Linked DNA regions of Arabidopsis thaliana. The protein of the gene in region 1 interacts with the protein of each later gene in a pairwise test. Each region holds a gene or a part of one and is shown in the gene's direction. Other genes may lie near its edges.

Evidence for each region.
Region 2: the proteins of AT5G40190 (region 1) and OXS2 interact in a two-hybrid assay, tested with the Arabidopsis thaliana proteins (one large-scale study listed by BioGRID).
Region 3: the proteins of AT5G40190 (region 1) and AT5G58620 interact in a two-hybrid assay, tested with the Arabidopsis thaliana proteins (one large-scale study listed by BioGRID).

Annotation. Positions count from the first base shown.
Region 1 is NC_003076.8:16,066,143-16,074,797, reverse strand, and holds AT5G40190 (RNA ligase/cyclic nucleotide phosphodiesterase family protein), read left to right. Parts: upstream 1-4,753; 5' UTR 4,754-4,948; coding exon 4,949-5,500; 3' UTR 5,501-5,755; downstream 5,756-8,655. Other genes in the region: UMAMIT42 (nodulin MtN21 /EamA-like transporter family protein), read left to right, coding at 135-327, 434-595, 696-844, 932-1,073; DEG9 (DegP protease 9), read right to left, coding at 1,697-1,807, 1,889-1,993, 2,069-2,119, 2,202-2,303, 2,401-2,633, 2,752-2,943, 3,021-3,201, 3,293-3,492 and 1 more; AT5G40180 (Pmr5/Cas1p GDSL/SGNH-like acyl-esterase family protein), read right to left, coding at 6,592-6,720, 6,810-6,875; RLP54 (receptor like protein 54), read left to right, coding at 7,241-8,655.
Region 2 is NC_003071.7:17,485,741-17,497,109, forward strand, and holds OXS2 (CCCH-type zinc finger protein with ARM repeat domain-containing protein), read left to right. Parts: upstream 1-4,530; 5' UTR 4,531-4,957; intron 4,958-5,588; 5' UTR 5,589-5,611; coding exon 5,612-7,762; 3' UTR 7,763-8,182; downstream 8,183-11,369. Other genes in the region: AT2G41905 (uncharacterized protein), read left to right, coding at 10,026-10,211; AT2G41910 (Protein kinase superfamily protein), read left to right, coding at 11,216-11,369.
Region 3 is NC_003076.8:23,688,061-23,698,515, forward strand, and holds AT5G58620 (zinc finger (CCCH-type) family protein), read left to right. Parts: upstream 1-5,198; 5' UTR 5,199-5,472; intron 5,473-5,856; 5' UTR 5,857-5,898; coding exon 5,899-7,722; 3' UTR 7,723-8,080; downstream 8,081-10,455. Other genes in the region: AT5G58610 (PHD finger transcription factor), read right to left, coding at 1-29, 192-283, 372-501, 597-2,696, 3,034-3,132; TRM31 (uncharacterized protein), read right to left, coding at 8,081-8,391, 8,468-9,275; AT5G58640 (Selenoprotein, Rdx type), read left to right, coding at 9,936-10,118, 10,198-10,274.

The DNA of each region.
Region 1 (8,655 bases):
GCCTTCATAAATACATTTATATTCAGTTTTAATATATTTTTATTAATCTGTGTATTTTGTTTAAAAAATCAATTAAAAAGGAACAGAAAGAATACTTTTTATATTTTACTCACTTGCACTTTTTTTTTATGAAGAATGGAAAATATATCTCTAGGGAAAAAGAGTAGTGTAGCCAAAGTGTTGGGAACAATATTGTCAATAATAGGTGCACTTGTGGTTACTCTCTACCACGGTCCAATGCTAATGTCTTCACATTCGGATTGGATCATCGGTGGTGGCCTTCTTGCTCTCCAATACATCCTTGTCTCCGTCTCTTACCTTGTTATGGTATACCTTACTAGATAATGTTATATCCAAAATGTCATTGAAATAGTATAGTTGTCTTAGTTATATTATATTAATATATGGTAACTCAAAACTCGGCTATTTATAGGCTCACACAATGGGTCGATATCCATCTGCCGTCGTTGTGACGCTTGTGCACAATGTTTGCATAGCTGTTGTGTGTGCATTTGTGAGCCTTTTGGCAGAGAAGGACAATCCGAAGGCATGGGTCATAAGATTCGACATAACCTTAATTACCGTAGTAGCAACGGTACTCATGACATTATATTTATAACTTTGGTTTCATATGTTTGTTCATTTATTCGTTTTTCTTGGTCTTTGATGATTTATGGAATATACATTTTTCATAGGGGATTTTGAATTCGGGATATTATGTTATACATACGTGGGCAGTGAGTCACAAGGGACCTGTGTATTTGTCTATGTTCAAACCGTTATCTATATTGATAGCAGCCGTATCAACTTTCATTTTCCTCGGCGAGTCGCTCTACCTTGGAAGGTATACCACAAAACTGTTGCTTCTCATGATTTTAAATTCACTATGTAAATGTCATTTCTCAATCCTCCTCTATATGTTTGAGTACAGTGTGATGGGAGGAATATTGATATCAATAGGATTTTACATGGTGTTGTGGGGTAAAGCCAAGGAAGACAAAGTTGACATAATAGGAGCAATAGAGTCCTCTCCTTCACATAATGCTCCTCTCTTGGATAATTTTAAAAGCTAATCAATATTCACTTTAGTTTTTCATGAGTGATTTCTGACAGATTAATACTATTTATGTGTGTCATCCATTTTATAATATAGTTCGACCAATAGTCCAAAACTCATTAAAAAAAGGCGTAGACAAAAACCAGAGACACACATATTAGTGTTTGTTAATAAAATTGGTGTTTTGTGATCCTTGGACCATGGTATGGTGATTTCACTGAATTGGTTCGATCTTAGTTTTCAAAATCGGTTCAGGTAGCTAAACCAGACTAGGGTTTCTTAATGTCAAAGCGCTACGAATCCCACTATTTTACTTGGGACATATAGATGAATGGAAAGTGAAGTATTTGGTAGAAGAACCTATGATTATATCTCATCCATTTCACTTTCTTTTTGCATACTTTTTTTGTGTGGATATATATGATTGTTCTACCAAGTTCAAACTTCAAAGAAAATAAATGAGAGAAAAAATAACCAATGTATTTCTTCTTGCATATTTTTCCAAATACAAAACAGAATCAAGAAAAATCAAATTATGGTTTGAGCTTCTCTTTGTCTTTCCATGACTGTATTTGCTTTTATGTCCTTCCATGGACAAAAATCTCTCTTTCTCTCCTTCTGGTTATGGTTCCTTCTGTTTCAGTTTCTTTCTTCAGTCTTGAGATCATCAGACATAGCAGAAGGTATGCAATGTGTGGTCAGAATATCTAATGTTGCTTCCTTTGCTGTCTTAGTGTCCAGAACAACAATCTGTAGAAACACCAAAGAATTTTAGCTAAAAATTGTTTATAAGTTTGTATAAAAGTTAAGGAAGATGAGAAAATAACATACCTGATCATAATCCAGATTAAACTTCATATATTCATCCTCACAATTCTCCACCATCCCAGCTAAACCTTTCAAGTTTTTCACAGGTTTGCCATTAAAGGCGACAACCTACACGGCGATTTGAACATTTAGCGTGACAGATGCTTCAATAAAGTGACAAATGATAAATGCAATTTAACAAACCTGGGTGTTGACAATCTCTTCATAACCAATGTTAATGTCAGAAACAAGAACCTGCAAGTTAAAATATGGGTGTTGAGGCTTCGACACCAAAATAATTATGACTGCATTAACGTGTGAAACAGGAGAAACCAACCTGTGAAACTACAACAAGCTGCTCGTCCACGGATTGAGCCATTGCATGAAGATGTTTCTCCAATAGCTTGACAGGTGCGTCAAATTCATATTCTTTTCCATACTGCAAAACATATCAATGGGAAATAGTTATATAAACTGTGAATGGATGCATGAGAGAAAGCGAGAAAGTAAGGAAAGATAGAGAGACAGTAAAGGACCTCAGATCGAAGATATGGAACAGAGACAGTTGTAAATACAAAGCCAGCAACGATGAAGTACGAAGGAGGTTTGCCACTTATGTGAGCAGGGATTAGCCTCTTGTGGATTGCAAGTTTTATGTTGAACTCTAATATTTCTTTGTTTCGTAGAACCTTCACGAGAGCAGAATCTCCAGTGTACTTTTGGGATATAAGGTAGCTAAAGCCAATTCGTTCTCCATGCCTAAATGGAACTGCAAAAACACAAACATGAACAGAAATGTTATTAAGGATTGTCTAGACTTAACCAGAAATAACTACACTCATTGGTCCCATTAATGATTGCTAATAAGTTATTGAAAGAATTATTACCAGTCCCATCATTAGCGATATTAACTCCATCAAAACTAAGGATAATATCAGACGGCTTCAAAACTTGTGATTCTGGGGCGGTTGGCTCAATTCTTCTAATCCGCACTCCCTTTTGATGAGATTCCATACCCATTGACTTCCGCAAATCAGGATTTTCCATCTTTTGCCACTCAATTCCGAGAACAGGAAACCCTAAAACAGTTCAAGTATGAGAAAAAAGCACATGTAGAGATAGATAACAAACAACATTAATCATCGGTGAAACTTACCTGTGTATTTATCATGCTTCTCATAATCTTGAATGAAATGTACAATCACCGGTGTGGGAATGACATAACCAATATTCTCAGCATCTTCGTGTTTCAAAGACTGAAATGCAATACCAACACATTTTCCTTTATCATTAAATGCAGGACCACCAGAATTCCCAGAATTAATAGCTGCATCAATCTGAAAAGACAAAAACAGAAAACATTTTTATAAGTGCCCTTAACTCCCTAGTCAGATAAGGAAAAATATCATGTCAAATGTGTTGTCCAACCTGCAATCCCAAAAGCTCGGTTGATCCATGCACATACGACAATATCTCCATCCGGGAAACAACACCGCTTGTGACAGAGATTGTATCACCACCAATTGGATAACCAACAACAGTAACAGCATCTTGCAAAGCTGGTAAATCACCAAACTCCACAGGAGATACTCCTTCCCAAAACTCATCATCCGTAACTGTCAACAAAGCTGTAATCCAAGTGTATAACATCATCAGCCACATAGACAAGAACAGTAAAACTCCAGACTTCACACATTTGTCAATGAAACTTATAACAGACATAACAAGGAGAAAAGTACAATCCATAGAAAATCAATATGACTAGTTACACTTCTATTGCAACTCAAACTACACTAAAAAGAGTAAATCATCAGTTTCTGTCAACAAAGCTGTAATTACATACTAAAATCAATTCTGACTACTTAAAAATTCTATTGCAACTCAAAACAACAGAAAACAGATGCAGAAATTAGATACAAGATCCATACCAATGTCACATTCAGTTCCAATGGCCAAGACTGTAGCCAAATACTTAGTATCAGAGCCACGCTTCTTGAGTTTAACTTGAGTATGATGCTCAACAGAATGTGCATTAGTCAAAACTCTTCTTCCCCCAATAATAAAACCACTACTACCAGAACTATACTGTCGTTTCCTTTGCCATGGCAACGAGAAATTAGGCTCAGTGTGAACACAAAAGACTTTAACAACAGCATCCATTGAAGGAACAACTTTAACAACAGTTTCCCAACTCGGAGCAGCGGGAATCGATTCAGTAGTTGTTGAAACAATCATCCCATTGCTACAATCACCATTCTTCGTATCAGAGTGATGAAGACGAGATCTACTACGCTCTGGTGACGACGTCCTCTGGTTACCAGCTTCTGATTCATTGTTCAATCTACGCTTTTTACCTCTCCCACGACTGCGTCGCGACGGAGATGGGTTGGCTTCAGAAGCTGAAACAGGCTCAGGGGATTGAGGTAACGATGCTTCATTAGCCGAAGCTTCTTTAACTTCGCCGCCGGCGTTTTCCGCCGATGAAGCATCTTGCCTTTTGTGTTTACGTCCTCTCTTCTCAGAATTCTTCATCTTTTCCCTCAACCCAGAAGGAAAAAGATAATCTTTTCCTCTGGATTGTAACTTCTCAGTGAAATTGAAATTGAAATTTGCAAGAAGACGCGGCTAGGGTTTATAATCGGAGAGTGGTTGTAAGAAACGGCGATCATTGTCCCGTCGTGCCTGAATATAAGACAAATGGGCCTGAAGTTAGGCCCAATAACGATATTGGGCTTCTAATTACTGAATTATAATTATGTTAACCCAAGCCATCATTAGGTTAAAACCACAAACTTGGCCTTGTTGGTCTTCATCTTAAAAGTCTAAACCATAATTAGTTAGTTACAGAGATTCGTAATTTGTTGCTGAACTCAAACCGAATTTAATAAAGTTGGATTTAGAGTTGGTTCGGTTCGATTCGGTTAGGATCGGTTAAAATGCACAAACCAAATCTGAAATTTGATGATGTTCTCACTTTCCCTTTTTGAGTAAATCGATCTCTCTTACTCCACCATCTTCCTTCTGTCTCCGATCGCGATCCATCTTCAATTCCATCTCCGATCTTCAATTCCGACTTGGAATAAAATGTCAGAAGGCTACGCAATCGAGCTATACTTCGATCCAGCACTCGAAAACCAAGTATTGAAAGCATGGAACGTCTTCGCTCGCCGTCAAATCAGTACCAAATTGATCAACACTGAGTCTCGTCCACACATAACACTCTTCTCCACCTCCTTCTTCGATTCAACGAGACTCGAATCCGTCATCAAAAACTTCGTATCCAAGCAAGAACCAATCTCGATCTCGTTCTCTACTATCGGTAGCTTCTCTAGCGACAACAACGTACTGTTTCTATCTCCGACTCCGTCTCTATCGCTTCTTCAGTTGCAGACTCAGTTATGTGATATGTTGAAGAAAGAATCTGTTGACATTGGTGAAGAGTATCGTGTTGATTCTTGGGTTCCGTTTTGTCCCGTGGCTCTTGATGTTCCTAAGTCTCGTATGGCTGAGGCTTTCTCTGTGTTGAGAGATTTGAAGCTTCCGGTGAATGGTTATGGTATGGAGATTGGTCTCGTTGAGTTTTCTCCTGTTCGTGAAGTCTTCTCATTTCCTCTTGGTAACACTTTGGAGTCTTGATCTGTTGTTGTTGGTTTTTATGTAATTTCTCTATGTAAAGCTTCGAACTTTACTGTTGAATTCTAAGGAATAGTTGGAGAATTTGCTATTTATCTATCTGAATGATGTTTTGATTGCTAGAGTTAACTACTAGAACACATAGAAGCTCTGTGTTGTAGTCAAAGTCGATATCTTTAGAAGTTCCTATGATATGTGTTTTATGTCTTTACTGTTGAACTCGGATATTTCTAAGGAATAGTTGGAGAATTGCTATTTATCAATCTCACCTTTCTCACTTCTCTTATTATGTTCTCATCTTTTGTCGATGTGTGTTTCGATCTGAATTGTGTTATGATAGCTAGAGTTAAGAGTTAGGATACAATTGAGGCTTTGTGTTGTAGTCATGGTTGGTGAGTAAGTTAGCTGTTACTATTTCTGTCTCAATTCTCTGTAATTTTTAGTCTCTGGAGTTTGGGACAAGGACTGTTCAAGGTGGTCTTTTAGATCGCTATGATCCGTTGAATGAAAATTTCCGTTTGGTTTCTGTGTCATCATTTTGAGTTTATGCACTTTGAGATTCTTAGGAAGATCACAGGAAATTTTTATGTTTCATGTCTTCACATGAACACTAAGAATGGTGGAAACTGTTATTCCTCTGCTCAATGTTTTTTTGCAGGCTATGATCATGAATACATTAAACAATGCCAGGTATGTGCAGTTTTGTATATGTCCTGTAAATAATATGTGTCTTCTCTTTCTTACACATATAACTAAAGGTTGTAATGAGAATTGAATTAAGACATCACCTTATACTTTTTAAAATTTCTTATCCTCAAGATTTACCTGAGTTGTCTGAGTATGGCCATGAGAAACTCGCTCCAGGCATTGATTGGTCCAGGCAAGCACCAGTGAGTACAGTCATTGAAACCCTTCATCCATTTATTTCCCCAGTAAGAATTCGGGTGCCCGTCTGGTCTCATTAGCATAACCCTAGTCACATCCAAAACCTCAAACTTCTTCTTTTTTAAGCTGTCACGTTTAAATATCTTCAAGCTGTTCTATCTGAGATGTTAAGATTTCCAATGGCAATGGCAATGTCTGTATTTAGCAGATCAATTGCCCATTGCTCGCTTGTCAATGTCGAGATCATAGATTCCTGTTCCGGTCTTCTTAGCATGAGTCCTTTCGAGTCCGGCCACTAGAAACTTTGCCATGAGGTAGATATCTTTCGGAGTTTCTTCCTGTGAAACCAAAGCAAAGAAACGAGATTTCTTAAGTCACAAGCTTAAGGAGTTATGTTATAAGATGTTGTCCAAAAAAAAAATCTTACCATTGACAGGAGGCAGAGAAGAGACTCCATGTGGTTTCTGGCTACAGAATCACCAATGAAATTCATCTTTTTGCCACAGACAAGATCGAAAAAATATCTAGAAGACTACAGTTGGATAATTGTCTAGATTGAAACGTTTGTGTAGAGACAATATAAAGTATCTAGAAAATTGATTAATTGGTCCACTGTCTACCCGGTTGGTATCGGTCTTGGTCGAACTAAATATGTGGTGGTCAATATTTACATGCTGAAAGACTCAAATTTTCCTAGCAAGCGATGTGACATATAACTCTTTATCTTTATTATATATATAACTCTTTATCTTTATTATATATATAACTCTTTATCTTTATTATATATGATTGTTAGAAGAGTAGACTGCAAAATTGACCAAATCATACATACCAATTTCTTCTTCATATCTTCATATCATGAAATCGAATTTGGCCGTTTTCTTCATAACTTGTTTCTTCTGTTGCGTCTTTGTGACCAGCGATTCAGTTTACACTCTACCATTTCCTTTCCCACGCGATCAAGTTGAGATTCTGTTGGAATTGAAGAATGAGTTTCCATCCTTCAACTGCGACCTCACTTGGAAACTCGATTACTTTGGTCGAATGGACACTAGAGCAAATATAAGCTCCTGGACCAAAGACTCTGACTCCTTTAGTGGGGTTTCCTTTGATAGCGAGACCGGTGTGGTGAAGGAGCTGTCCCTTGGTCGTCAATGTCTTACTAGTCTCAAGGCTAATAGTAGCCTCTTCAGATTCCAACACCTCAGGTACCTCGATCTCTCTGAAAATCATTTTGACTCGTCCCCTATACCCTCTGGATTTGGTAGACTGACCTACTTGGAATCCTTGGATCTTAGCAAAAATGGGTTTATAGGAGAAGTTCCATCCTCAATAAGTAACCTAAGCCGGTTAACCAATTTAGACCTTTCATATAACAAGCTCACCGGTGGTATTCCCAATCTACATAGTTTAACCCTTCTTGAGAATATAGACCTATCATATAATAAGTTTTCTGGAGCCATTCCTTCTTACCTCTTCACCATGCCTTTTCTAGTTTCTCTTAACCTACGCCAAAACCATCTTAGTGACCCTCTTGAGAATATAAATTATTCTGCAACCTCTAAACTTTTAATTTTAGACATGGCTTATAACCTTATGAGTCATCGAATCCTAGAACCTATCTCAAAATTAGCCAACCTCATACAAATTGACTTATCTTTTCAGAAGACACCCTACACATTCAACTTTGATTTCTTGCTCTTCAAGTCTCTAGTGCGTTTGGATCTTTCCGGAAATAGTGTTTCAGTGGTTGGTACCGGTTCAGAAAATTTGACACATCTAGACTTGTCGAGCTGCAACATCACCGAGTTCCCGATGTTTATTAAGGACTTACAAAGATTATGGTGGTTAGACATTTCCAATAATAGAATTAAAGGAAAAGTGCCTGAGTTGTTATGGACTCTGCCTTCTATGCTCCATGTAAATCTCTCACGCAACTCCTTTGATTCCTTGGAAGGTACGCCAAAAATAATCCTCAATTCGTCGATTTCGGAGTTAGATTTGAGTTCAAATGCCTTCAAAGGATCTTTTCCTATTATTCCACCTTATGTCAACATCATGGCTGCATCAAATAACTATTTCACTGGAGGCATACCACTTATATTCTGCAAAAGATATCGACTCAGTCTCCTTGATCTATCAAACAACAACTTCAGTGGGACAATTCCGAGATGCTTGACAAATGTGTCACTCGGACTAGAAGCGTTGAAACTCAGTAACAACAGCCTCACTGGGAGACTTCCGGACATAGAAGACCGCTTAGTACTACTTGA
Region 2 (11,369 bases), on another chromosome or scaffold:
TATGTCAATCTTGTGTTTAATGGTTCTAATTTCTTTTACTATAAATAGGAACGAGAATTTATAGCATAATAAAAATAGTGTTCTACCCATATTGCTACTTATGAGAGGATCCATTGTGTTAAGTTTTTTTTTTGGATTAACAATCTTGTGAGTGTGATGATTGGTCATTAACTAATGTCGGACTCACTCTATTATCTTGTTATCCAAATGACATGATCCAAAAGTTTTCTCGTGCATGAGGATAATGCTTTTCTTATTTTTATATACTCTTATTCTTTATCTGTTATAAATATATTGATGGATGCATTAGCATCAAAGAGTAATACGGTGACAAACAAATATTATCACTAATAATGATTAGTTGGGTGAGTGAAGCCTCACTACTGTTTTCCTCCCACGGGACGAGGGCTCGAGGTCGTCAAAATTCGAGCAATAATTATGTATGATTAACCATTATTATTTCAAATGAGTTGAACTATGGACGATCAGAAAAATATAAGTTACACTAAGTTATTAGTAGTACTATAATTAATAAACAAAATTGCCGACATAAACTTTTTTTTTTTGCCGACATACAAAAAAAATAGAATTAGAACATCAGTATTTTTTGTTCATCATTACAAAATTATAAATACATTTAAACTTGAGTGGAAAACTGTTCCAAGGTAAATTTAATCAATTAATTATGTCACTGTATAAATGCATAGATTAGATTTAAATCCATATTATACTGATGCATCTTCATTTTTTTAGCCACGGGATAAAATTCCTCTGTTGATTTCTATTACAGTGTTAATCTTATATTTCTTTGATCTTTTCAAGTATTAGCAGTCGTTGGTTGCAATTATTTTCTTATAAATTTATGGATTTTGGTTCAATTATTTTTATTATAAATTCATCTTAGATTTTGTATGTACTGAATGAGGTAAGTACCAAAACAAAGCCGGCTTTTACTGTTGGTTTTGTTGGACCACTTCAGACATTTTAATCAATATAACACATCTTCTATGGATTACAGTAAATTATTTTAAATTTCCTTTTGAGTTTCTTCATGTTAAAAATAAACAAACTGCTATTCTGTTATTATATATTTCCAAGAATCATAATTATATATAATGAAAACAAAACTGACTCAGAAATAATCTTTGACGTAATGTTTAGCCATCATTTGGAATTAATATCATGTTTTCCTTTTTCATATTTGTTTTTTTTTGTTTCTTTCATGTCTCTTCTACTTATCTGTCTTCCCTTTTTTAATGATCATGAAAAAATTATCTTTATAATTTTCGTAATTTTTACTCCAATTTTAGTTTAATATATAGAAAACGGTTTCTTCATTTTTATTATTCTTTAATTCCATTTAAATTTTAAGTTTTATTAAAACCAATGTGACTTTACGGTTTTTTACGCATATATTTAAAGGGAATATTCCCTAATAAGACATTTATAGAGAAAGTTTGGACGTTTGGGACACTTTTGAGGGAGTGAACACTTTTCCACATTTTTATTGATTTTATAACCAATTTACCCTTATAAACGTGAGAAAGAAAAAAAACAGGAGATAAATTAATTTTGTTGTCAATTACTAAAAAATAATATACGTGACATTAGATAGAGATAACAAGTTAAAAATTAATGGTAAGATCAGTTAAAATTTAGTTTAATCAAATAAAAATATTTAAGTCAAATATTATATTAAATAAAAATATTTAAACCTAAGTAATATTATATATTTCTAACAAATATCAGATATTAAACTATGTTCCTAATTATGTATCCAATATATATTGTCCACGTAAACATATCCAAACAGTTCGCATTATATGAAATGCTTTAAATCAAATAAAAATATTTAAGCGTAAGTAGTATTATATATTTCCAACAAATATCAGATATTAAACTATGTTCCTAATTATGTATCCAATATATATTGTCCACGTAAACTTATCCAAACAGTTTGCATTATATGAAATACTATATATTTAAACCTAAGTAGTATTATATATTCCCAACAAATATCAGATATTAAACTATTTTTCTAATTATGTATCCAATATATATTGTCCATATAAATTTATCCATAACAGTTCGCTTTATATATATCAATACAAGGTCCATCAACAAACTTTTTTTGAGAATATGATACAATATTGTTAACACAAACAAATGGTTTGTGGTGTGTAAACTTTAAACCCTTGAGACTCTGCACTAAAGCCTAATTTCCTTACCCTAAACTCAAACCCTCAATCCCTAATCTTTATCCATTAAATCCAAAATCGTAAAACAAAACTCTAAACCATATAATATATTGTAAGCATAAACAAGAAAGTGATAATTATACTTAGAGATAAAACAAATTCACAGCAAATCAAAGCCAACATGTGTCCATTGATGATTGTCCAAGAAGTTTAGTCCATGTGGTCAACTAATGACTCATGGGGTCGTTTTATTTCAATACACAAGTTTATGTATGATCGATAATCACCAGAATCAGATTCGATGGAAAAAAACAAAAACTTTTGGAACAATTTAAATCGTAAAAATGTGATCTTTACTAAATTCGACCAATATCAATTGCAGATCTAAATGCTAAACATAAGGACAATGAACCAAGGAAACAATTTTTTTAATCTATTTCTTACATCAAATTGATACCCAGATTAGTTGGAGAACGAATCTAAAATAGGAATTGGATGGAGAATTGGAGATAATGACATAAAAATGAAGATAATGACATGAAAATCAATAGGAATCATGTGGGAGAGAGAGAGTACTAACTTGGAGAAGGCAACAGAGGATTCTTCTTCAGCCAATTGTGGATGTGCTTGATTTTACGCCTTAAGACGATGACAGATTGCTTCACGTCATTTTTGTAATCAGAAACTTGACTAATGAAGTGATCCCAGAGAGCAAGGATTCATAGTAATTTTTCAATAAAGAGAGAGAGCAAAATCTGAATCTCAGATTTCAACAAAACCCTAGAAATTCAAATATAACAAAATTAAGGAACGAACTGATAAGTTGACTGATGATGGGAAGAGAGGGAGAGAGAGAGATGAAAATCATGGTAAAAACTTTTTATTTTCTCCACTTGATTGTGTAGACTTGAAAAATGAGAGAAAAAAAAAGAGAGAGAGAAGAGAAGGAGAGAGACAAATAAAATGTAACGAAAGAGATGTGTAAAAGGTAAATAGGTCAAATAACCTATCGAAAGTGTATATTCTTTTTAAAATGCTTAATTAGACATTAACTTTTCAAAAAATGCCTAATTACGTAATATTCTCATTTTTAAAATCTATATTATATTTTTTAACTATTATACATAAAAATTTGTTTCATTTTAGTTATCTGAAATAATTAAATTATATATAAATAAGTATTGTATAGCAAGTTTGATAAAACAATTTGATGATAATTTATTTCAGATTGATGAAATTGTTTGCAATTATAAACTAATATTTATATAGTACTAATTAGTAAATTCTTGAAAGAACAGCAGAAATATTAACAAAAAAAAATAATAACGCCGGAAAATAAATCCTCCTAAAGAAATATTTTTAGATGTGTTGGGAAAAACCATATGGTACGAATTTATCTTTTAATTCCCTATTTAAGTTTTTAGGTTATTAGAAATTTGATGCAGTTTGTTATAAGTTATAACTTATAACCTATAGTTTTCAAAAATATCTATTAAACCCATTAGGCCCACTTTCTCATTTCGCTCATGGTTTATGATTGACTCTACAATTAAACTGGAATTAAATAAAATGTATCACGTCCGTTCCCCCGTACGCTTGGTGGACGCCAGTTACCCTTCTTAAATATCGTTTAATAATCCCTCTCAATTACGCCACTCACAGGCTACCGGTTCCTCCCGTTTACTTTCTCTTACCATCAGCCATCCGTACCACCGGGTTCACCGGTCGATCCTGTAATATCATAAAGCTCGCGTCCATTGAAAAATCTCCTGTCTTATTGTGCTTATTGCTCAATGCTTTTATTCCACGTGTCTCATCAGCCAAAGATAAAAAGGGTAAAAACGACTTCTCGTAGATTCTAAGGGCAATTTAGGAAATTGGAAAATACCTTATGAAGAAAGCAGAGCGTCTGTAGAGATTTCTGTAACGGGGATAAAGTCGAAAAAGTGAATATCCATTCACTTGTCGCCACGTAGGAAAAAGGCTTTTAATTACGATGTAACTTGACTCACTAGATTGCCATCCCCTTATTTTAGGAAGTTGTATTAAGTGGAAATTACTGGAGAATTTGACCAAGGACAAAAAGCTTAATAGGAAGGATACATGCGTGTCCACTTCCGATGTCAACCAATCATACCCTGCCAACTCATATATCGGAAGTCGAATTGACTATTGTACCCTTGTGTTCTACTGTCTTAGTTATGACGTGGACAGCTTCTATTGGTTGTAGTGATTTTAAATTCGTAAAACGGGTAGGGGTTAATAAGATCTCATAGTAGCGCTTGTCTTTTTCTTAATTGTTTATTTATTTCCTATAAAATATTAATTTAAATAGCTTTCCCTATTGGATAGCGAAATTTATTAAAAATTTCATTAAACGAAAACGAAGTGTCGAAAAATGTTTTTTCTCAGGAAAATAAAAATTATTTATTTTTTGGGGGTGTAAATACTTTTCTAGTGAGATCTGAGCTTGGGAAATGGAGATTGTAGAAGAACAAGCTCCTCTCACCATTTCTTCTTCTTCTTCTCTCTAAAAGAAAAGAGACTTCACCGATTCTTTTTTATTATTCCTTCCCAGATTTTCTCGGGAAATTAATTCTTTTCCTCCTCTTTCTTCTCACTTGTTGTTGTTCCTTAACACTCTCTTCCTAGATCTACTATTAACTGATTTCATTTCACGACTAAACCATCGAAGTCTTCGGCAAGATATGGATTTGTTTCTGTTCTATTAAACTTGTTTCAATCGAGAAGTAAAAAAGGTGAGATTTGTCGACCATCGGAGGCCTCTTATGGTTTGATGATATCGTTTGGTTTTCGATCGTCTCAAGTTTTTATTTTTGGTTCTTTCTGAATCTAAAGCTTCTCCCTTTCTTTGTTCGCTGTAGTCTCTATGAATTTTTTGAGAAAAAAAACGTCGTGAAATAACATGCAACAAAGATCCATTTGAGTTTCTTCTCTATTTGTCTATTTTGACTTTGTTTTTATGGAAAAAAAGATTCGATGAAGTTTTTATTTGGGATTTTCTGATCGGATTTTATTGCTTGTTGTTAGTTTCCCTGTTCTATTTATAGAAGTAGCGTCTTTACAAATCCTCTTTGCTTGATTCTTTATTGAAATCTGTTTGACTTACTGGTTTTTCAAAAAACGGTTGATTTTGGGAATCGTTAAGACATGGTCTTGTTTTCAGACAAAAACCCTCCCTTCTTGTCTGAAAGTGACTTTAGCTGAGATTTATCTTAACTGGAGTACTATTCCGATCTAGTTTCTGTAAAATCAATGGATAAGAGAATTAAAAAGATTCTCTTTTGGTTTTTTATGATCGATTTATTAGTTCTTTTATGTAAGTGATCTTTTTGATTGAATTTTTGATTCTTTTGATGATGTTTACAGAATCCGATTCCACAGATGGAACTATGTGCTGTGGATCAGACCGATTAAACCAGATCGTGTCATCAAGATCTTCGTTGCCAATTTCTTTCGAGGAAGATAACAATCTTGTTACCAACACAGACATGAATCACTTAACAGTCGAAACAGAGGATACGTTTGCGAGCTTGCTTGAGCTTGCAGCTAACAACGATGTTGAAGGTGTAAGGCTATCTATCGAGAGAGACCCTTCTTGTGTAGACGAAGCTGGTCTCTGGTACGGTCGTCAAAAAGGTTCTAAAGCTATGGTCAACGATTACAGGACTCCGTTGATGGTTGCTGCTACTTACGGAAGCATTGATGTGATCAAGCTTATTGTTTCTTTGACTGATGCTGACGTGAACCGTGCTTGCGGGAATGATCAGACCACTGCGTTACACTGCGCTGCTTCTGGAGGAGCTGTGAATGCTATCCAAGTTGTTAAGCTGCTTCTTGCAGCTGGAGCTGATTTGAATCTGTTGGATGCTGAAGGTCAACGAGCTGGTGATGTTATTGTTGTTCCTCCTAAGCTTGAAGGCGTGAAGCTGATGCTTCAGGAGCTTCTTTCTGCTGATGGATCATCTACTGCGGAGCGGAATCTACGGGTTGTGACAAATGTTCCGAATAGAAGCTCATCTCCGTGTCATTCTCCTACTGGAGAGAATGGTGGATCAGGGTCTGGTTCACCGCTCGGCTCTCCTTTTAAGCTGAAATCTACTGAATTCAAGAAAGAGTATCCGGTTGATCCGTCTTTGCCAGATATCAAGAACAGTATCTACGCGACTGATGAGTTTAGAATGTATTCCTTCAAGGTCCGGCCTTGCTCTCGTGCTTATTCACATGATTGGACTGAGTGTCCTTTTGTTCACCCGGGTGAAAACGCGAGGAGGAGAGACCCGAGGAAGTTCCATTACAGCTGCGTTCCTTGCCCGGATTTTAGGAAAGGAGCTTGTAGGAGAGGAGATATGTGTGAGTATGCGCACGGTGTGTTTGAATGCTGGCTTCATCCGGCTCAGTACAGGACCCGTCTTTGCAAAGATGGAACAGGCTGTGCTCGGCGGGTTTGTTTCTTTGCGCATACACCCGAGGAGCTTCGACCTTTGTACGCATCAACTGGTTCAGCGGTTCCTTCGCCTAGATCGAATGCTGATTATGCAGCTGCTTTGAGTCTCCTTCCTGGTTCTCCATCAGGAGTCTCTGTCATGTCCCCGCTTTCCCCATCAGCAGCGGGGAACGGAATGTCTCATTCGAATATGGCTTGGCCACAACCAAATGTCCCTGCGTTGCACTTACCAGGAAGCAATCTACAGTCAAGCAGGCTAAGGTCTTCTCTCAATGCAAGGGATATCCCGACGGATGAGTTCAATATGTTAGCGGATTACGAGCAGCAGCAACTCCTCAACGAGTATTCCAATGCTCTGAGCCGTTCTGGTCGGATGAAATCAATGCCTCCTTCGAATCTTGAAGATCTTTTCTCAGCAGAAGGCTCTTCATCTCCCCGGTTCACTGATTCCGCTTTAGCTTCCGCGGTGTTCTCGCCTACACACAAGTCAGCTGTCTTCAACCAGTTCCAACAACAGCAACAGCAGCAGCAGAGCATGTTGTCTCCAATCAACACAAGCTTTTCTTCACCAAAGAGCGTTGACCACTCATTGTTTTCAGGTGGAGGAAGAATGTCTCCTCGGAATGTTGTTGAACCAATATCACCCATGAGTGCTCGGGTTTCCATGTTGGCTCAGTGCGTGAAGCAACAACAACAGCAACAGCAGCAGCAGCAGCAGCAACATCAGTTCCGTAGCCTTAGCTCCAGAGAGCTCAGAACAAACTCTAGCCCAATCGTTGGTTCACCGGTAAACAACAACACATGGTCATCAAAATGGGGATCTTCAAATGGTCAACCGGATTGGGGAATGAGCTCAGAAGCACTTGGTAAGTTGAGATCTTCGTCATCGTTTGATGGTGATGAGCCTGATGTGTCATGGGTCCAGTCACTGGTGAAGGAGACTCCAGCAGAAGCCAAAGAGAAAGCAGCAACATCTTCCTCAGGGGAACACGTGATGAAGCAGCCAAATCCGGTTGAACCGGTAATGGATCATGCTGGGCTAGAAGCTTGGATTGAGCAAATGCAGCTCGATCAGCTTGTGGCTCAGCAGAATTGAGAGACCTAACCAAAGAATCACATGTTCTTGTCTGGTCTCTCTATGTGGTAGATAAAAACCTCTTTTTTACAGGTGGTGGTGGTAGAAGGGTAACAAGATTAACAAAGAAGAGAAGAGAAGAAAGAAGATTTCTTTGTTTTTGGTCAATTAATTTTCACAAAAAACAGTTTTTTTTTTTTTTATTTAGAGAAGAGAAGGGAACAATACAAGAAAAAGGCTTATGGGAAGAAAGGAGATGAAACAAAACCTTCTTGGTTTTCTTTCTCCCATTTTCAATTTTTTTTTAGGGATTTCTTTCTCCCATTATCATTATTATTATTGTTATTAATATTATTATTTTTTATATATTTTATTGTTATGACTATTTGTTATCGTTTGTTATAATGAGTACCCTGAAATTAATTGCAATAATCTTTAATCTTTTTAGTTTCTTTAATCTTGTGGGAGAAATAAGAGTGGCCTTCAAAGCAAATTCTTGGGAGACATGTGTCTATGTTAATTACTTAATGACTCACTAACTAATTATTTATGTGGCGTTAGTGCAATAAATAGATAAATATTTGTTGGGTAGAAGAACTGAGTGGGGGCTAATCCATAAAGGATTAATTTTTGGATTTCTTAGGGATGTGGATGTGGTTTATGGGGCAGGTGACAGTGATATAGTATATCTTTAAATGTAATATAATAAAGATTCTTAAGTAAGTTCTTTACTTTTTGTCAATTCTTAATAAAAATTGATCAACCACATTTTCTTTTTTTAATGCTTTGGAATATGCAAATTTAGCTTTGTGTTGAGATGGTGGCCTGGTGGGTTGATTTAATAATATTCACTTAAATTCTTTTAATACTTTACATTATCTAAATACGATAGATATTAATCTGTTTTTCACTCCTTGGTGCAACCAATTTTTGTATCCTCGAGCTCACGTGACTGTTCTCTTTGGACTCTTTCTTAGCATTAAACTTTGATCAGGAAATGAAAACAAAAACAAAAACAAACCAAGATTAGTGCGAACATGTTTATTCATTCTCTGTTCAGTTATCTTGTCTTCTTTTGCTAGAGCGTATAGCCCAATAATAGGATGTTTAAGTTGTTCTTTCTTTATCGGTTATACTTTAAATAAATATAAATTTCACTAAAGAAAGCAAATGGACGGATTTGAGAAATTAAAAAAATAGGTGATCGTCACCTTTCAGTGATCAAACTTTCGGTGCATATGTTTGTTCTTGAGTGATTTTCTTTATCACCTTTTATATTTCCATTAATATTTTAATTTACCAAAAGCTTTGCGGTGATGTGATCAAACACAAAAATCACAAGACTTATGCCGAGTATCTTATTCAAGATAACACCAAACCTATTTGAGCATATATTATACGCAAGAATAATATTTCTAAGAATTTATTCATCAATTTATACCTTTTAAAAATATTGTTTTGGGTTTAAAATATAAAAGAAAAGAAAAAGCTGATTGCGACGCAACTTTAATCAAAACCAAACAGAAAGAAAAAGAAGCATAAACAGAGAAAGTAAGGTGAAGAAAAAGCATAGCAGAAGCTAGGAAATTCATTCCTTCTTCCCCCTTCTAATGATTCTCTTCATTGTTCCCAAAAAAAGTCTTCAAATTTCACTTTGTTTTTATTCATTCATAATGTTTAATACCAAAATTTATACCAGCCAAAATCTACTTTACCAAAAAGTTTAAGGTTTTTGATATTGTCTTTTTAGGTTCGGAACAAGCTAATAATAACATAAATAAAAGGGATGGATCACCCACCTGGGCCACTCTAAAGTCTAAACCAATTGAAGTAACCATTTTAAACACACAAAATTATGTTGGTGGGCTTTTAGCTCTTTAAAAATCCACACATATGTTAGTGGGCTTTAGCTCGTGGACCAGATACGGTTACATGGTTACAAAAGGCCAAACCCAAATCGGAAAACATGCCGGAAAATACGATCTGCACTCATTTTGACCAGGTAAAAATATGGTTGGAAACGCGTAAATGAATCAAAGCCACACAATGAAATAAAAATTCAACGGTGAGGTTCCTACATTATTTCTGTAATTTCTGTTTTTTTTGTGTGAACAAACGGATTTCTAATTTTAAATTTACCTAAAAATAGCTTAACTCCATCCGGTATAAATCCCCAAAAGCATCATCCAATTATCCTCAGACCTGCGAGAAACAAAAAATAATAAAAGTAAACAAAACTACCAAAAAAAAAAACAGAAAAAAACCTTTCAGGTCTCAACTAGCAATGGAGATGAAGAAGATTGCCTGCGGAGTCGTTTTCGCTGCTGCTTCCATGACCGCCGTCATGGCTGCAGAGGTCGGAGCACCTGCACCAGGACCCGCCGCAAGTGGAGCCTCCGTAGCTGTTCCGGCTCTTGGCTCTTTGGTTGGAGCTTCCCTTGTGTCTCTCTTCGCCTACTACTTGAACTAAGCTTTTCTATTTAAAGCAAAAAAAGAAGAAATATCGATGTCTCTGTCAATTTCTATGATGTCCAATTTTGTGTGTGTTGTTTAGACAGGCAAAGTGAATAAAACGAAAAATAATTTGATTACGGTCAGACATGTTTTTATGTAATGCTGATTAATAAATATATATATACACTATCTGTTTTCTCTTTTTCATATATCTTTCTTATACTACCACCATATTTTGGTTACTATATTTTTTGCGCAGGTATAATTTTGACCAAGTTAGAATTTTACAAAGTCTTAATTTTATTGAATTCAACATATAAAGCTTTGTGAAAGTTATTTGGTTTAGGTGAATTCACATGGTCTACACAAAACAAAAAATGTACAAGCAGAAAGATATTTTCTGCTCATAAAAACATCCTCAAACTATTGGATATTGCCTAGAAATCGCTTACCGGTTCTAGTTTTCTGAGTGATTTTATCCGACAAAAGTACACATCGTAATTTCAAAACAAGCGTATCACTTGTTGAATCTATGACGAATCACAATCATAAACCACTGGTCTTGTGATTTTGTTAATGGTTCAAATTATAATGTTGATTGATGTCTCACATAAGTCACAACAGAACATGATCAGATCATAGAAGCCACTAACAACTTCAGCCGCAGTAATCAAGCTCTTAATTAGCGATTTGTATTGTTAACAGCGATGCCTTTTTTAATTCTTTTATTTTTTTGGAAACTAAAGTTTTGTACGCTTTTCAGAAAAAAGGAAATTGTTATTTTCGTTTATAATTTTCGTTTATAAATTAATACGATTTGAAGTTACTTATGTTTTACAGGAAAAAAGGAAACTAATGAGTTTACTTATCTCTAACAGAAAGAAGGAAACTTTTCTCTATATATATGATAACTCTCTTCACCAAATTATTTCGATTCTCAGATTTCACGTACATCACCTAGGTTTTGTTTCTTAACTTGGAGCCAAAGAAATCAGAGAATCAATAATATATTCCATTGCAATGGTGCCACCAGAGCTAGAATTCAACAAGTATCTCGGAAAGGGTTCATACGGTTCGGTGAGTCTTTTCAAGTATTCGAAACCACGCACGACTCTCTACACCGCGGTGATGACTTGCAACTATAAAAACGCTGAGTCTCTCGAGAAAGAGTTTG
Region 3 (10,455 bases), 7.6 Mb from region 1:
CCAATAAGGTCATAGAGAATTACAAATATCTGTAACGAAAGTTTTTTTTTCTTTACGTAAGAGCAATACTGAGTATGACATGCAGTATACATATTATCTTAACTGCAGCATTTATTTTCTTAGGCTGCTTAGTTAGTTTTCTGATGGCTGTTAACAATCACAAATGGAACATGGGATTTGGATTTATGTACCTCTTCACAGTCCTTGCTGCAAAACCACTTTTCTCCCAAGATTTTATCCAATGAATCACAGGCACCATCATAACGCAAGCAACTAGGGTGATCTATATGAACCACATAGCAAACAAAACTTCATATCATTTAAAATATCTTGTTGACTCTTTATATTAGCATTAGGGAAGTATTCCATACACTTAAGTTCGCATTGCTTGCAACTGATAAACTTTTCCTCCTTGGCATTTGTGCTAGTAGTCTTTAGAAAGAATTGTCCACATGCACCACAACAACATGACTGGCAGAACCAATCACCATCTGGAACATCCTACAAATTCCAACAAGAACGTGTTCAGAAACCACAAGAAAAAGCGGTGAAGTTTCAAGAACGGTCATAGTGAAAATTGGTGAAAAAGATCAAACCTCCAGCCCAAGACAATTTGCATGGAAGGCGGATGGACATCCATCACAGAGAATCAGTTTGCCACCATAGTGACAAACGGAGCAAAATACATCGTTCTCCCCTTGACGCAATTTCATCTTCAACATATCAGGTGGTTGTGCTTTCTTTCTTTTTTTATAGGCTTCTACTTGGCATTCCAAAAGAGATCTTCCATCATCCAGGAAAATATTGGCTGCTCCGCTGCAGGATGCACCATTAGCATGAACTTCAAAGCCATTTATGGTGAAAACTCTACGGCAACAACTGCATTTTATTCCCTCACGGGTTAGTTTCCCCTCTTTTCTCACAGTTGTATCCTTTTGGTTACAGCATCGTATATTTTCCCTTGGTAGAACCACATTGTTGTCCATGAGCCAGGAAAGAATATTTCGTGGACTGTGCTTTCTTGAGATGGGAGTTATTACTCGTTGCGCTCTTTTTCTTGATCGTAACACACGGGTTTTACCACGACTAGTTACTCGATTCTTGATATCCATTAACTTTTTTGAAGTGTGCCCCCTTCTCATGCTCCGATTGACATTCTGTAAACCTACAATCACTTCGTCCTTCTTAGGTGTCTGTTTACGCTTACTTTTTAACCTTAGGATGATGCCTTGAGCTTTTGTTTTTGGCTCGATCCTGACACGGAGTGTCTCTTTCTGACCCGGAAAGGCTTTTTTGGGACAAAAATTGCGGCTTTCTCTCGTAAAGACCTCCTCGTTTCCTTGCGTTTCATACTCAAGCAAGGTATCAGTAGACAGCTTCAATCCTTCACCAAGAGCGACACTTCTATTAAAGGCAGGCAATGCCAAAACAATAGACCTCATTTCCTGGGTGCTATACGTCTGGTTTTCACTAGACAGAGAAGGAGGGTTAGCCATCCCCGGAGTAGTCAGGGATTTATCAGGTTGTTTCAGTCTGAAACATACTTGACGAAGAGAATGCTCTTTTAGTCTTCCATTTGGTGAGAGGTAGCGAAACCTTTGCCTTCCAGCTTCGTCTACCATATGTTCTATGGTCCATCCCATATACTTAAGATGCATCCTGACATGCATGGCCATGGGCAGTAACGGTGACCTGATAAAGCTCGACACAGCTTGTGGGCCTGATTTAGCAAGACAGTCGAAAGGATGCCAGATTCCAGGTTTCTTGTGTAGTATATCCTTTTTATGAGCGGCAGTAGATTTCTTGCTGGAAATTTCTGTTGCCTTATTGATGTCACTCGCCTCTGACCTTATGCCAGAAACAGAAGTCAAGACAGACAAGGACTGGCATCTCTGGCTTGCCGGTTTGAAATCTTTGTCAATGCAGGAAAATTGGTGTTCTTGTGGAGCAATCGTTAGCATACCGCTAAGACAAGCATTGGTCTCATAAACCGCCTGAGAAGCTTCATTTAAGAGCTTCAATTGAGGGTATCTTTCAGCGTCAAAATCATGAAGAAACTGGTCAATGGTGATTTTAAGATTATCTTCAATCACCCCCAGCATCAAATCTTGCCATAAATGCTTAGTAGAGCAAGTCCATTCTTGAATTCTTACAAAACCAATCCTGTCTCGTATGTCATACCAAAGTTGCTTTACCGAAACCGGGAGATAGTTATATTCCTTATATATCTCAATCAAATCAAGAAACAACCAACTGCCACGACACTCCCACGTCTCTGTAGCCTCATTCCAATCCTGAGTAATACGTAAAGATTGAAGATCAGCATCCAATTCATCACCCAAATCAGGGAAAAACACCCTCCTTTTCTCAGAACCATTCTCGTGGTCAAAGAGCACACCTTCCCACCAAGCATCACTGAAAAACACATCGACGCAGAGCCCATACGCAAGGTTCAGTTTAGCAACATCCAGCTTTGGCGGCACAGGTCTTAAACGTCCACGGAAAGTATCAGAAACATCAGTGCAATCATCCAACCCTTCTACTATATCAGAAACATCAACAGTTTCCACAAGATTACCAGAACCATCATCAGAGAGAATGTTGTCATATCTGATACAACGCCGACGTCGCTTTTTAGCTGAAGTTACAGTTCCTAAATACCAAGAACCCAGAGACCCCTCTTCAAGACTCCTTACCTAAACAAGCAACACAAATACTTTTCCAGGATTAGAAGACGAAGCAACATTAAAAGCAACATATAAGTTTGCACTAAAAATGGAAACTACTAAACTTTTAACATCTCAAAAGCTAAACAAAAAGCTACAGAGAACCAAAAGTGATTATAATGGAGAAACAGACAATGTAGCTTTTACAAAAGTTGAATCCATCAATTACACTCCACGATGAAACTCAAACCTTGAAAAAAATCCGAAATTGCTCAAAAGGTTGAGAAAATGAAAAACCCTATAAACCCTACAATCAAAAAGACCCATGGTGGAAAGGAAATAGTCAGGGGGGAAAACAACAAGCGACCTCTATCTTATCACCGTCGAGAAGCTTTTTCCGGCGGAGATTTCGTCTACCGGTGCTGTTCCAGCCGAATATCGGCTCTTCTTCCTCCGCCGCTGGCATTAAAAGCTTCGAGTGAGAAATTTGGAGGGAAAACAAAAACAAAAAACGCAGTGTTCCGATAGAGCTTGGAGAATATTGAAGAGAAGATTTTTGTGGGTAAGAGAAGAGATTTGGGAGGTACTTGTGTGAGTAGCAGCTTTCTCCCCAAGTAACGCTGTACTAGTCTCTGCAACTTTTTTAGTCTAATCCCAATTAAACAGCGAGATTAATTAAAACTAAAGGACATTGATGTTGTTTTTTGGTTGATACACGCGAAAAGAGTGGAGATTTTTAATTTTGGTCAATTTGCACTATTTCCTAATTAAAAATCCAAAATTTACCCATTTCACCCTCTTATTTCTTTATTTCTTCTACTTTCGTACTATTAAAGCTTGCTCATCACTCTTTGACTTTGACTCTGTTTTTCACTCTTCTCAGATATAGCTCATGAATACGACATTCTTTCTTCGGATTCACCATATGACTTTTACTTGTGAAGATAGTAAGATACTATCTCATTAGTTACCAGTTCTTTTTATTTACGTCCATGAAGAAGAAATTGGCTTCCTTCTTTTAAATCAAGAAGATAGACTAATGGGCCAAACCTAGGTCTTTAATTATGGGCTTTGAAACAGATCATTATCCTCGTATAGCCCCGCATCGGTATTTCTGGCCCAGAAGTGCTTGGCGCCAAGTCGAAGAGAGATAATTCACTGCATTTAGGACCATAAAAGTCAATATGGTCTGTCCAATAAGGCTCTGCCATTTGGGGTTTTGTCGCAGCGACGTCGGCTGATAAAATAGCAAATAGCAATGCTTAGTCGCTTTCAGTTGGTCCCACATGCTTCTTATTCCATTCATTCTAGTCAGATTATGGATTCTTGTGGGTCCTTTTCCTAATTGTACACTTAGACTTTTCTACCTTTTTTCCCTTTTTATTTCGCTTTATATCAAAATTAACCTAACAATATATCTCATCGTGAATACAAGATCTTGACCGTCTGTTTTCAGCATTTTTCATACCATTGTCTTTTGAGTGACTGACTTATAACAAATTTTTAAATATTGATTTGACATTGGGAATCAACAGTGTTTATGTTAAGAAACAGGATATAATTATCTAAAAATTAATAATTTGTCGTGTATATATACAGTATTTGCACTATCATATTAATATTATGACTTTACTTATTTATTAGAACTGTAAATTAGAAGAAGAGAAAATAAATGGCTTTGTGTTATGATGTGAGAGAGAGCCAGTGGAGCAGCTTCGTTAATGCCGCTGCAAAAAGCATTGATGGGTTCGGTTGCATGCATTTGGATTTGGTCTGGTTGCAATACAAAACAGTAGTCGTTTTCAAAAAAATATTATTATACATTTGCAATTTATGACTACTTTTATATAGTAGTACAACATTGTCATGGATCACGAATCACTATCTTTTAATATAATAATACAAGCATAGCGACAGAAAATACAAAGTTTGGTAAGGTTTGTTCGAATTCTTTCCATTACCGAATTTAAATACACATTATTTTAGTCTCTTAGGATATTTGTATTACCTAATCGTCTTTTTGTTGGAATTGTCGACCGAAAAAAACTGAACATAAACGTCAATTTCTCGACTTTATAATAATTATCTCAATTATCTTTAAACTTTATGATAATTAATTTTGATGAATATAACTCAAATCAAAGCTATGACAAAAGAGAGTTGCTATCAAGCGAAACCCACTCGAGACGGTTCCGATTCTGTGTTTTGGTGCATGTTGAGATTATTCTGGGGCGGTGACAAACCAATTAAAAAGCTATGGTTAATTGGTTATATAACTCTAGGTAACAGGCAGTGGTTTTATCTTTAGCTCGTGAATGGAGAAGAAAAGTAAGTAGCTCATTTTAAAAACATGCTGACGATGCATGGTTTCCACGTCATCCCACCAAAAACCGGAAAAACGCGTGAAGCGTGACAAAACCGATGAGCGAAGATCCTCTGTGTGAAGTCTAACGTACACCTTCATTTCCTTCAGACTTTACAAATTAAAATTGAAAGTAAAATAAATAAATAGAAATAAAAAAGACGAGAGAGAAGTAGAAGAAGAATGATGGAGATGGTGGTTTTGTTTTATTATTTAGAGTAAGCTTCTTCATTTTTTTAAAAACTTCTATTATTTTGACCTTAAGAAGAAAGTGACAAGGAGAGGAAGAAGAAGAAAAAAAACATAATTTGAGGAAGAAGAAAAAAAATTCGGATTTGTTTTTTCAATAAATTGACTAATTGAGTACTCGTTTAAAGGAAGTGAAGAGCGGTTTTTTGGTAGTGGTGGTCGAGAAAAGAGAGAGTTTGTCTCTGTGACTCAGAGGTAGAAAATCTTTACTCTTTGTTTCTTTGATTTGATTAGTCACTAATTTAGTTTCAGTTGAATCCATATATGTCGATTTGTTTTAGAGTTTGCAGTTTGTTTTTAATTGTTTTGCTGATTGGAAAATGAGTTAACAATATGATTAGTTTTCGATGTTGCAAAAGTGGTTAATTATGGATCTGTTGGTGTTTATTTTTGGTTTGGTTTGTTTTAAAGTTGGAAACTTTGTATCCCAAACTAACAAACTCTTCCTTCTCTCCTTAGCTTAATCGTTTCTGCAGTTTTTATTTCTGTTTTGTATGATTTTGTTCTATGTATATTACCATTTTAATCAGAAGAAAAAAGATTCATCCTTTTCAATTTGTTCTGCAATTTTTTTTGCAGTGAAATCAATAGAGCGGGAAAAGATTGTTGCTTTTTTTTGCCATGGGAGTTGATGAGCTGTCTCACCTCAAATTCTCTCTTCTGCTAGAATCATCAGCCTGCAATGATTTGTCCGGTTTTAAGTCTCTAGTTGAAGAAGAAGGTCTTGAGAGCATTGATGGCTCTGGTTTGTGGTATGGGAGGAGATTAGGATCAAAGAAGATGGGTTTTGAGGAGAGGACGCCTCTTATGATTGCTGCCTTGTTTGGAAGCAAAGAGGTTGTTGATTACATCATTAGTACTGGTCTTGTTGACGTGAACCGCTCTTGTGGCTCTGATGGTGCCACGGCTCTTCACTGTGCGGTCTCTGGCTTGTCTGCCAATAGCCTTGAGATTGTTACTCTTCTGCTGAAGGGCTCTGCGAATCCGGATTCTTGTGATGCTTATGGTAACAAGCCTGGAGATGTGATTTTCCCTTGTTTGAGTCCGGTTTTTAGCGCGAGGATGAAGGTTTTGGAGCGTTTGTTGAAAGGAAATGATGATTTGAATGAAGTTAATGGGCAAGAAGAAAGCGAGCCAGAGGTTGAGGTTGAGGTTGAGGTTTCGCCTCCTCGGGGGTCTGAGAGGAAGGAGTATCCGGTTGATCCAACGCTTCCTGATATCAAGAACGGTGTATATGGGACGGATGAGTTCCGGATGTATGCTTTCAAGATCAAGCCGTGCTCTAGAGCATACTCTCACGACTGGACGGAATGTCCCTTTGTTCATCCGGGTGAGAACGCAAGGAGGCGTGATCCGAGGAAGTACCATTATAGTTGTGTCCCTTGTCCTGAATTCCGGAAGGGGTCTTGTTCCAGAGGTGATACTTGCGAGTATGCTCATGGTATCTTTGAGTGCTGGCTTCACCCGGCTCAGTACCGGACTCGTCTCTGCAAGGACGAGACGAATTGCTCGAGAAGAGTTTGTTTCTTTGCCCACAAACCCGAGGAGCTGCGTCCTTTGTACCCTTCAACTGGATCAGGTGTTCCGTCCCCGCGGTCTTCCTTCTCATCTTGCAATTCCTCGACCGCTTTCGACATGGGACCGATTAGTCCGCTTCCTATCGGAGCAACAACCACACCTCCTTTGAGTCCTAACGGTGTATCCTCTCCAATAGGTGGAGGAAAAACGTGGATGAACTGGCCTAACATAACCCCTCCTGCATTGCAGCTTCCAGGGAGCAGATTGAAATCTGCATTGAATGCAAGAGAAATCGATTTCTCTGAAGAGATGCAAAGTCTTACTTCTCCAACTACATGGAACAACACGCCAATGTCATCTCCATTCTCCGGAAAGGGCATGAACAGGCTTGCAGGAGGAGCAATGAGCCCGGTGAATAGTCTCAGTGATATGTTTGGGACAGAGGATAATACATCGGGTTTGCAGATCCGACGCAGCGTCATTAACCCGCAGCTGCATTCCAACAGTCTTTCTTCATCACCTGTGGGAGCCAATTCTCTGTTTTCGATGGATTCCTCCGCAGTCTTGGCTTCAAGAGCGGCTGAATTTGCTAAACAGCGAAGCCAAAGCTTCATAGAACGCAACAACGGACTGAATCACCATCCCGCAATCTCTTCCATGACTACAACTTGTTTAAACGATTGGGGCTCATTGGATGGGAAGCTTGACTGGAGCGTCCAAGGAGACGAGCTACAGAAGCTCAGAAAATCCACTTCTTTCCGTCTCAGAGCCGGTGGCATGGAATCAAGACTGCCTAACGAAGGGACTGGGCTCGAAGAGCCAGATGTCTCATGGGTGGAGCCGCTGGTGAAAGAGCCACAGGAGACAAGACTAGCTCCGGTTTGGATGGAGCAATCATACATGGAGACAGAACAGACCGTGGCTTGAATCAAAAGTTTTGAACTTTCATTAACCGTTCCACAAGAAGCAAAGTCAGAAAGATTCCGAGAGGTCGATGCTAATCTATTTCATTTTATTTGTTTAATGCTTTGTTATTTTTCTTTAGAATAAAAAGAAAAAATTCTTAGGGGACAAAAGAGAGTTCGTTTGTCTCTCTCTCTGTCTCCAAAGAAAAACAGAGGTGAAAAAAGGTTTCAAAACCTAAGAAACCTTGAATTACCTCACCTCACTTCCTTGATTCTTTACTATTCACAATGAGTAATCGATTTTTTTTTTTCTTGGTAACACTCTCACGCTGAATATATATGTTTTTTAGTAATAATATAATTGGAATACAGAAATGTATTTACACTTGTGAAGTTAGGGAAAGTGTTGTAATTGTTTCTTCTAAGAGTTGATCTAAGATGTTTGAGACTATATCTTCGCTTATGATTCCTTCTATATCTTCGAGCTTTAAAGCTTTTCCGTTAAACCAATCTGAACCTTCAAGGTCAGATACAGTGAGTTTGCAGATCATGAGCCACATCTCTTGGTAGCCATGAAGTCGGATTTCTTGGTCTTTTGATCTACTTGTCAATGTGATGTGATCTTGTTCAATCGTTTCATTGAGCTTACTAGATTCAAGTTCTGAAGACAACCGTCTTCTTGAAATGTTTCCTGTTACAAGGAAACAAGTATGCTTTAATAACACAAGAAAGGACATTTCAATTTTCAATACTGAAGAATTACCAACCTGGTGATGGAGTTACTCGAACACCAGCATACCGGTCATAATCAAGAACCGAGACAGGGCTCGAATCATCGCAGCTTCCACACTCTTCTTCTTCTTTTGTTGATCTCACTTCACAATTTACTAAATCTTCTTCTTTGGACCAACAACCATTACTTTGGACCCAATTCTCCTTCTCGATGTTCTGTCTCAACTTAGTTTCTTTTCGTTTTCTTCTGCTCTTACGTTTCTCCTTTCTACGCTGCATCAGTTCTCCAATCTCAAGCCTCTCACGTCCTGGTGAAACGTTCATGGCATTGATGTTGTTCTCTTTACCCTCTAGGTGTGTTTGATCCTCTGTTTTGCTCTGGTTCTCTCTAGTATCTCTCCTCTTCTTACAATTTCTAGTTCCCAGCTCCTTATCATTTTTATCCTTCTCGAAACTGAGAATGAAGAAATCATCATCTTCAAGCTCAACATACTCAAGAGTGGACTTAACTCTTCTATGCTTTCCCTGAATCTCATCGTCGTCCCTCTTCAAATGATTCACTGAATGGCTCCTTGAGAGAAATCTGGTTTTGTCGATCACGGGAATTGAGTCCAAACCCATGAGCCTCGCCACAGCTCCTGGCCCATCTCCTCTGCCTCTGAGTGGCTCGGGGATGAAATCACGAGACTTGAAACTGGGTTCAGTAATTAGATCAGATGGGTAGGTAGAAGAGGTGCCGGAACAGAGAAATCTTTGAAGAATGATAGAGATACAGCCGAATGACCGAGTCTTCGAGCCGAGTGAGAGAGAACTAGCCGGAGAAGGCGATGACTTCATCTTCATGGTCTATAGTGTCAGTGTTTCGAAACTAACGGAGAAGTAACGCATAAGGAAAATAACTTTTGTCTTTACTTTTTTTTTTCGGTTGAGTGATGATGGAGAGCAAAACAAAAAGTGTGAACAAACTCAGAGCGGGATCTAGAATTTGAACTAACATTCTCAGTCAAAAACAAAATGTAAATCAGCTTTTTTTGTTGTACTTTTTGTGATTGAGAAAGCAATAGACAACAGTTGAGACGCTGTGCACTGCACGCGTTTTGACAAGTCAATTCCCGGAGAAATTCATGTCGTCCGGTGCCGCTTTTTTATAACAAACCTCTGTCACTTTTGTTCTTTTTAGTTCTTGAACCGAGTCAACAAGAAAAAATAGTTGCGGATCAAATATTTGGGCCGTTTTGATACTTTTCAGTGGGCTTTATGTTACTTCTATTCATTCAAGCGGGGGTGTAAGTGCAATAAAATATAAATACAGGGGTATTTAAGCAAATATTTCAAAATATAAGACGTCAACAACAATGAGCAGGATAATAATATTCCAGCATCCAAACAAGTCTTATTGAACTCTCTCGTTCCGTCTTCTCCGATTCGCTTTACACTACTTCTTCCCTCGTCTCTCTCTCTCGCGCTTCACTGTGAATTAATCGAGAGATCTAAATATCCGCCATGGACAGAGCACAATTGATCTTGTTAGGTCTACCTATATTCTTGTTTTGTTCGGATCTCTTCAACCTCTTCACTCCTCCGCCTCCTAAACCTCAGCCTCACCGTCCTCATCAGCCACCGCATATTCCTCACCAGCATCGTCCTAATGCGATCATCCCCGAAACCCTAGACTTTCCTTCACAGGTTAAATTTCTTTTATACTTTCGTGTATTTCACTTCTATTGGTTACGGTTTTGATCTCTAAGCTCCCATTATTTTGCAGAAGACAAGTGGCTTAGGAGGAGCAATTGGATATGGAAATACAGTAGAGATCAACTTCTGCGTCTCCTGTTCTTACAAGTAATTCAATTTTTCTTACTTAGATTTTAAGAAATTCGATTTTGATTTTAATGTTTTTACTTAGAATCGGATTTATAGTTATTCTAGTGTAGTCAGAGAATCTTAAGCAGCTTGTAAGTGAGGTTTTCGTGGTGAGAAAGAAAACTTAGATAATGTGGAAACTACATAAGAACTATCTGAT